Linked DNA regions of Rattus norvegicus. The protein of the gene in region 2 binds, or shares a complex with, the protein of the main gene of each other region. Links are inferred from orthologs where the notes say so. Each region holds a gene or a part of one and is shown on either strand. Other genes may lie near its edges.

Region 1 (4,286 bases), on a different chromosome or scaffold from region 2:
CCGAACCCAGGGCCTTGCACTTGCTAGGCAAGCGCTCTACCGCTGAGCTAAATCCCCAACCCCGACACCTTCATTTTTAATGTATCCCTGGCTGTTCTGGAACTCATGCTGTAGACCAGGTTGGCCTTGAACTTGAAGACCCACCTGCCTTTTGTTCCTGAATATTGGGATTTAAGGCGTGTGCCACACTTCCAAGTGACTTCTTCTTAATTAGGTGTACTCAATGATGTCTGTTATCTGTATGTGAGTACAAGCCCACAAGTGCTGGTACCTCCTGAGGCAATGAGAAAGTTTCAGATCCCCTTCGAGCTGGAGTTGTGAGACCTCGGGTGCAGTGTTAGTAATTGAACTCAGGTCCTCTTCGAGAGCTTTATTTTTATTTTATGTGTAAAAACCTTTATTTTTATTTTATATGTATGAATGTTCTGGCTGTATCTATGCCTGTTCACCACAAGGGAGAAGTGTCCATGGAGGCCCCAGATGGCACTGGATCCCCTAGGATTGAAATATAGCTAGTTGAGTTACCATGTTTGTTCTAGGAATCAAACCTGGATCCTTCGGAGGAGCAACCATTGATTTTAACTGTTGAGCAATCTCCCCAACTACCTCATCTTTATTTTTATTTTACAAGCATCGGTGTTCTGCCTGCATTATGTCTGTGTACCACTAGCATGCAGTGCTGAATGAAGCCAGAAGAGGGTGTCAGTTCTCTCTGAACTGTAGTTACAGATAAGATTGTGAGCTATCCTGTGGGGGCTGGCAAGTGCTCTTAAGGACTGAGCTAATTCTTCAGCCCCTAAAATAAAATTTAAAAAACAATTTTTTTTTCTCTTTTTCGGAGCTGGGGACCGAACCCAGGGCCTTGCGGTTGCTAGGCAAGCGCTCTACCTCTGAGCCAAATCCCCAACCCCAAAAACAAATTTTTTTATAGGGTTTGTATACACAGTCTTGGTTATCCTGGAACTCACTTTGTAGATGTGGCTTAGCCTTGAATTTAGAGATCTGTCTGCCACGGCTGGGTTTAAAGGCATGTGGCGACAAGCCAGACCTCTTAACCTTTTTTTTTTTTTTTTTTTTTTTTTTTTAAGGTTTTTCGAGACCGGGTTTTTCTGTGTAATCCTGGCTGTGCTGATGAGCGCTGATGGGAAGGCCTGAGGGGCGGGGCTTCACGTTTCCCCGCCCATGGCGTTAAGACTCAAATCTGCGGAAGCGACTGCGGAGACTTGGTGGGACTTCTGCTAGTGCTTCCGGCGAGGTCCCTTCCTGGGGAGTTCTGGCCTCTGCGGTCCAAGCTTCTGCAGAAGATGTTTTATCATGTGAGCTGGACGCGGGGTAGCGGTGAGGGCAGGGACAGGAGGAGCCTGGAGGGCCGACGGGTCGCCTCCTGTTCTCAGTGTGGCTGGCGGAGTCTTCATCTTCCTTTCTCTGCAGATTTCCCTGGAGCACGAGATCCTACTGCACCCACGCTACTTTGGTCCCAACTTGCTCAACACGGTGAAGCAGAAGCTGTTCACCGAGGTGGAGGGGACCTGCACTGGGAAGTAAGTGTCTGATTCACAGTGTCGTCTGCTGAATGCAGGCACAATAACGCTACTCTGTAACCTCTACTTCACTCCTTCAGTCAGGGCTTGTTACTTACTCTGAGGAACTCTTTCACCACTCCAGGCATCCGAAGCAGCCAGTTTTTGCCTATTTTGGGCCTTCTAAAAGGTTGCTAAACCAAATTTTCTTCGCTTATGCGAGATCAGACCGTTATTATGCAAATGTTTTGGGTTTCGAGATGGCCTCACTATGTGGACCAAGCTGGCCTCTAATTCAGAGAACTGCCTGCCACTGAGTGCTGGGATTAAAGGTTTTCGTCACAATTTTCTGTCTGATTTGTGGTTTTCGAAAGACCTGTCTCACCACTGACCTGGCAAGTCCTGGTACTGAGAGAATAGGTGTATGTCAGCATATCTGTGCCTTCTTGGGCATTTACTGTACAATTGTGAGAGCACCATTTAATATTTCAGGTGCTAATCTGAGTTCTGTCTCTTCTTGGTCATCGAGCTGTTCGAGCAGAGGTTCCATCACACGCAGACTATTGCTGGTGGCTTTTTAGAGGCTCTTCACATACAGTAGCTGTCTTTTTTCATCTTTCCTGCAGATATGGCTTTGTGATTGCTGTCACTACCATCGACAATATTGGTGCTGGTGTGATCCAGCCGGGCCGAGGTTTTGTTCTTTATCCAGTGAAATACAAAGCTATTGTTTTCCGGCCCTTTAAAGGGGAAGTGGTGGATGCTGTGGTCACTCAGGTCAACAAGGTAAGAGTATTATTTATAGAAAGGTTATGGGGTTGGGGATTTGGCTCAGTGGTAGAGCGCTTGCCTAGGAAGTGCAAGGTCCTGGGTTCGGTCCTCAGCTCCGAAAAAAAAGAAGAAAAAAAAAAAAAAAAAAAAGAAAGGTTACGGGGTATTTCCTAAGGTGAGAGTTCAATTCCCAGTCCACTTATTAGTTGCCTTAAGCCTTTTGTGGTTGTCAAGATTTATTTTATTTTATCTTAGTTTTGGGTTTTCTTTTCTTTTTTTTTTTTTTTTTTTTAAGGTTTGTTTGTTTATTTTTATTTATATGAGTACACTGTTGTCTTCAGACACATCAGAAGAGGGCATCAGATCCCATTACAGATGATTATGAGCCACTATGTGATTGCTGAGAATTGAACTCATGATCATTGGAAGAGCAATCAGTGCTCTTAACCGCTGAGCCATCTCTCTAGCCCCTGATTTATTTATTATACACACTCCTCTGTAGCTCTCTTCAGACACACCAGAAGAGGGCATCAGATCTCATTACAGATGGTTGTGAGCCACCATGTGGTTGCTGGGAATTGAACTCAGGACCCATGGAAGAGCAGTCAGTGCTCTTAACCACTGAGCTATCTCTCTAGCCTCAGAAATTAAGTTTCTTAAAGGCTAAGGGGTCTATAGCTCAGTGGTTTAGAGCACCTACTGGTTCTATAAGACCTGGGTTTGACTCCCAGCACCCAGCCAATGGCTCACAATAATCTGTAACTCCTAATTCTGCAGGGTCCCAATACCCTCTCCTGGCTTCCATGGGCACTGCAGGTACATGGTGCACAGGCACATGTGAGGTCAGAATATTCTTACACATAAAAATAATGAAGAACAAAAATGTAAAGAAATGAAAGATTACACAGAGAGAAATTAAAACAAATGCTACAATTTAAACTGTTAAGAAACATGAATAATGTGCCTAGAAATCAGGTAAAGATGCTTCAGAGCGTTTGAAGCACGGTCATTTTCCTTCTAGGTTGGACTTTTCACAGAAATTGGGCCCATGTCCTGCTTCATCTCTCGACACGTGAGTCTGGGCGTGTGGGGTGAGGCCGAGGAGGAGAAACCAGCCCCTGACTCTCATCCTTTGATGCAGCTATTTGAAATGCTAACCTTTGTGTCAATTTCCTTCTAGTCCATCCCTTCAGAGATGGAGTTTGATCCAAATTCGAACCCCCCTTGTTACAAGACCATGGATGAGGTGAGCGAATGAGGAGGAGTTGGTGAGAGGGATGAGGACCAGGCCTGAGTCTGCTTGATGACCCTGCTCTCTCCTTTCCACAGGACATTGTAATTCAGCAGGACGATGAGATACGCTTGAAGATTGTAGGGACACGTGTAGACAAGAATGACATTGTGAGTCTCTTGCTTGACTGGCCTGCCTTAGCCTCCTGGGTAGTAGGATTATAAATAATCCAAAGTCATCATTCACAGCTGACAGCTGTGGGTTTCTCGTTTCTTTTGTAGAACATATTTATGTGGATGTGTGGGCATACACACTCGCCACAGTGTGACATTTAGACCGCCTTCAGGTCATCGCATGCTGCTGTGGATTTTGGGGGTGGAGGTCAGGTCATCAGGGTTGGAGCAAGCTCTTTCCCCATCTGCGCTGTTGACCTCTTGCCATCCACAGTTGTTGGGGGCTCTGTGCTCTGTGTCCATGAGCAGGGAATAGATGACAGAAGGCTCGGAATGGGGTGGGGCCCCACCTCACCATCCTTTCTCCCTTTCCTCTCGCAGTTTGCTATTGGCTCTCTGATGGATGACTACTTGGGTGAGTGCCTGACATGGGTGCTGGGACCATTCCCTGGAGAAAGGATGTGCTGGAGAGGGGATGGCTGTAGGATTTAAATGCCAGTCAGAGATATAAGTTCTCATTCTGTTCCCTTGGAAATCCAAGATACCTTGTCTTTGGTGGTGGGAAATCTTTGGTTTTTGGCTGCCTGGGAA
Region 2 (4,449 bases):
AGCACACCCGCATGCGGCATGAGGGCAGGGATATGAGCACCTGCTCTGCCCAGGGAGAGGGCGGTGGAGACGCCTCAGTGGATAACGTAGCTGCCTTGCAAGCATAAGGATCGGGAGTCCAGACCCCCAGTACCACAGACAAAGCTGGGTATGGAAGTGTGCATCTGCGACCCCAGGAGAACGGTGTAGACAGCAGGGTCCCTGGGACTCACAGGTCAGCAAGCCCCAGGTCCAGTTAGATACCCTGACTCAAAACTGTATGTAAAAAGGCTGGGAAAGATAGTACTTGCTATATAGTCTGCATAAAGTATAGCCTGCAAAAGGACTGAGGCTTGAGTTCAAGCCCTAGGACCCACACAGCATAAAGTGAGAACCGACTCCTGCAAACTCTTCTCTGATCTCAACTCTGCATCCCTCACACACCTGTGGCCCAACAGATGTCATTTTAATAATAAGGTGTAGAGTGACTATGGAAGACAGCTGATGTCCACTCTAGCCTTGACATGCACAGCATGCCCACATGCACATATGCACACACACACGACTCTGGTCATGAGGAATGTGGGACTTACAACAGTAAAACAGACTGGTCCATGAGATCACGGAGACCACCCGAGGAAGGCTCAGGAGCAACCCAGACAATATGGAAATAGTAACATTTTAACATGACACCCAGAATACTGGGTAGTTTAAAACTTTGGCCTTTAACACTTTTTTCCTCTTAGTATTATCTAGAGAATCCTGTTATGTAGCTCAGGCTGTTCAAACTTATGATCCTCCTGCTTCCACCTCCCTGGTGCTGGGATGCTAGTATCCCTGGCTGTACCCATCTTGTGGTATGGTTTTATCCTTTCGAGACAGGGTCTCACTGTATAGGCAGTCTGCTCTGAAGCCCACTGTGCAGACCAGGCTGGCCTCAAAGTCAGAGATCCACTGACTCTGCTGCCAAGAACTGGCATTAAAGGTATGTGTCACTATGGCCTGCTGGCTTTATCTTAAAAACAAACACTCCAAACTTATAAAATGCATTTGTTTTTGTACATGACATGGCCTGCTTGTCATCTTGTTACCCGTTACTTTACTTTATAGTATACATATAGACATGGTCTATATATATATATATATATCCGGGGCTTCACTCAAGCTCACTATGTAGCCAAGGATGGTCTTCAATTTGAGATCCTATCCCCTTTCCCATGCTGGATAACAGGCGTGTGCCAGCCAACATGCCCATTATACATGGCGCTGGTGGTCCCCCTGGCCTCCTATATGCCAGATGAGTGCTCCATCAATTGAACCGTACCCTCAGGCTAGCTTCTTCTCTTTGAGATAGGATTTATTTAGTATAGGCTGGTCTAAAACACTCAGTCTTTCTACCTCAGCCACCAAATAGCTGGAATCACAGGTCTGCTGGGGCTACAGGTGTGGGCACTACTGTTTCAGTAAAGTCACCAGCCCAGGGTTAGGTCTCTGCCCCAGACACCCAGAGGCATACACTTACCTGGTTCCAGGTAGCAAAGTTGACTTTATCAGCTGCATTAAAAGCCATTATGTTGTATCTTTTGGCTGTGTTCCTGGAATGGGCAAGAAACTATTCAATCCATCGATTAGCCATTCAACAAATCTACGATTTACACCCTTGGTTGTAGGTAATTCTGGGAACTCAAAAAAGACTCGGGAACAATGGTCCTCAACCTTCCTAAAGCTATGACCCCTAATACCCCTATGACCCCCTCATGCTGTAGTGACCCAACCATAAAATTATTTTTGTTAGTTCATAACTGTAAGCTTGCTACTATCATGATTCATAATGTAAATATCTGTGTTTTCTGATGGACTTAGGCGACCCACAGGTTGAAAACCACTGCTCCAGTTTCTCAGGGATTTTTTAATTTTGTTTTTGTTTTGTTTTTTTTAAAGACTCCATCTCATCCAACCCCATATAAAGATCCATAGGCACCAGGCACTCTCACAACACACATCTATATACACACAGGCATACACAGAGATAACACTAAATCCTTAAGAAAAAAATGAACCGGGGGCTGGAGAGATGGCTCAGTGGTTAAGAGCACTGACTGCTCTTCCAGAGGTCCTGAGTTCAAATCCCAGCAACCACATGGTAGCTCACAACCATCTGTAATGAGATCTGATGCCCTCTTCTGGTGTGTCTGAACAGCTACAGTGTACTTATATATAATAAATAAATAAATCTTTAAAAAAAAAAAAGAAAAAAGAAAAAAATGAACCAAAGGTGTAGAGAACCTTTATGTAGAGAGGAAGGCAGGCAGGCAAGGGCTGGAGGTGAATGGGTCTTAGTGGGTTTCAAAGTCAGCCTGGTCAAACCGGCTAGACTACACAGTAAAACTGTGTCTTCAAAATAAACAAAAAAATAAAAGGGGACTAGGTGTAGATCAGTGGTACAGTGCTTGCCTACCACAGGCCCACCTAAGATAAAATTAGAAGTTGAGGGCCATGGCACTTGGCACAGAAAGCAGGATGTGTACTACTTGTGACCAGTTTGGAATTTTGTTTTATTTTGAGACAGGCTCTCACGATATGTAGCCCTGGCTGGTCTGGAACTCCCTCTATAGACCTGGCTGACCGCGAACTCAAAGAAATTCTCTTGTTTCTGCCTCCCAAGTGCTGAGATTAAAGGCAGCCACCATGTCTGGCCTGACCAGTCTGAAACAGGACAGAGTCACAGACCCTAACATTAACTACCAAGATTTACCAAGACATATTACTATGTCTTGGACGCGGCAGTAGGGCCAGCGTGGCAGGGGAACACAGGGCCGAGGTTCTAAAGTGTGGATGGACGGGGACTTACTTGGGGACTCGGACGACGTACTCAGTGACATTCTGGCTGCTGGAGCCCTGCAAAAGAACAGGAGTCTGTAAGGCGAGAAGAGGGCGCGGGGTCTGTTTTGCGACACCTCCATCCCCACCTCATTCATACTTACTAGAGCCGCCATGGCCGTTGCTCAAGCTGCTCCGGGTCGGCCAGACCTGGATGGTCTTGGTTGTGTCCCTCGGACCCAGGGAAAGCACCTTTCCTGGTTGTCACGTTAGTGTGATCCTGTGCTTTGGATTTCCAAACCCTTAAGTCTCCTAGAATGCTGGAAGACGAGAAAAAAAAGAGACTTAGAACGCTGCGCATGCGCCACAGCCTGACCCGGAAGTAGAACTGCCACACGGAGACGAGAGCTACCACTGTACCTAGTCTGTGTCTTCTCCAGCTTCTGAGCGAAATAAAGCTGCTTTCTCCCAGTGTTCTCTTTTACATCACGGATAACTTATAATCACGTGAGAATACGTCACTTCGTGACGTCAAGACGCGGGCAACGTGGAGCATCTTGGGTAGGGTGGGAATGGAGTCTTCTGGTGTTCGCGTCCTCGGTACTCTCGCGCAAGCGTAAATGTCCAAGAAGCGGGAGCGGAGGCCGCGTTGCCATGGCAACCGAGGCTCGCTCTGTGGAATGGCCTCCGGGGCTCTTCTGGGGTGGGTCTGAGATTCCGTTTTCTTTTGTGTCCTGGAGTCAGGGGATCCCGAGGATCTTGCAAAATGAGTCCCTTGTGACGTAAAGCGGAGCCGAGGAGTCGTTGCAGGGCAGAGACCCGGCCCCGGCGTACCCCAGCATTGCGGGCGGGATGGGTCTGTGCGAGTCCACGCTGCCCCAGCTGGGCAGAGCTTTACGGCCCCAGGAGAAGGGTAACAACATGGGGTAGTTGGTCTACATGAGGCAACGGAAGGGGGCGGTGGGCAGGTATCCCACCACCTGATTGTGCACACCAACCCTTGCACGACAGGAACGCATCTGCACATGCTCCCACCCCACCATTGGTTGATGCCTTTGGAATATAACTTGAGTAGAGGAGCCAGTGTCAGAGATGGAAAGTACAATTCTCGGGGGAGGAATCAGAAAAAGGGAGCCTGTGGGACTCATAGGAGTTGGGACCCTCAGAGGGTCAAGGGTGGTACAGACATTGAACCTGAGAAGGATGAGATATGGTGATTCCATGTTAGTCTTTACAGAACCATAAACAACTGACTCCACTGATGTATCTAGTAGCGGAGACATTCATTTCTTCACTTTCGGGGAGCGCACCGTGAGTTACAAAGGCTGGTTAGGAAGACTAAAGGGAGTCAAAAAGGACAAAGAACAAAGAACCATGACTGTGAAGGAGAGGAAAGGGTTGTGTGACTAGAGGCACAAGCAGGCAGGATAGAAAGGACCGCATGGTGGGTGGAGCAGGGTGCTATTGGGTGGGTTTGAGGGCCTTCCTCTTTCATTATCTGTAAAATGGGTTGATGGAGTCAGTAAGGCACTTCATGGAGGTCTGTGCAAAAGGCCGGTGGCCTGCTCAACAGAGGGAGCCTTCAGTGTGAGGCCAGGATCTCTTATAGACTCGTACTAGTACCCACTTTCTTCCCTGAACACCATAGAC

What was found.
Region 1: Gtf2f1 (region 2) and Polr2g share a complex: the UniProt entries of both Homo sapiens proteins name them as parts of the TBP-based Pol II pre-initiation complex. The link is inferred for Rattus norvegicus from reciprocal best matches to the Homo sapiens genes GTF2F1 and POLR2G.

What each region holds. Positions count from the first base shown.
Region 1 is NC_086019.1:215,118,601-215,122,886, reverse strand, and holds the start of Polr2g (DNA-directed RNA polymerase II subunit RPB7), read left to right. Parts: upstream 1-1,230; 5' UTR 1,231-1,304; coding exon 1,305-1,316; intron 1,317-1,428; exon of another isoform or gene 1,429-1,431; coding exon 1,432-1,541; exon of another isoform or gene 1,542-2,146; coding exon 2,147-2,306; exon of another isoform or gene 2,307-3,312; coding exon 3,313-3,363; exon of another isoform or gene 3,364-3,471; coding exon 3,472-3,537; exon of another isoform or gene 3,538-3,620; coding exon 3,621-3,692; exon of another isoform or gene 3,693-4,076; coding exon 4,077-4,110; coding exon of another isoform or gene 4,111-4,187; exon of another isoform or gene 4,188-4,286. UniProt on the Homo sapiens protein: Core component of RNA polymerase II (Pol II), a DNA-dependent RNA polymerase which synthesizes mRNA precursors and many functional non-coding RNAs using the four ribonucleoside triphosphates as substrates.
Region 2 is NC_086027.1:1,937,097-1,941,545, forward strand, and holds the start of Gtf2f1 (general transcription factor IIF subunit 1), read right to left. Parts: upstream 3,102-4,449; 5' UTR 2,976-3,101; coding exon 2,964-2,975; intron 2,878-2,963; coding exon 2,831-2,877; intron 1,575-2,830; coding exon 1,502-1,574; intron 1-1,501. UniProt on the Homo sapiens protein: TFIIF is a general transcription initiation factor that binds to RNA polymerase II and helps to recruit it to the initiation complex in collaboration with TFIIB. It promotes transcription elongation.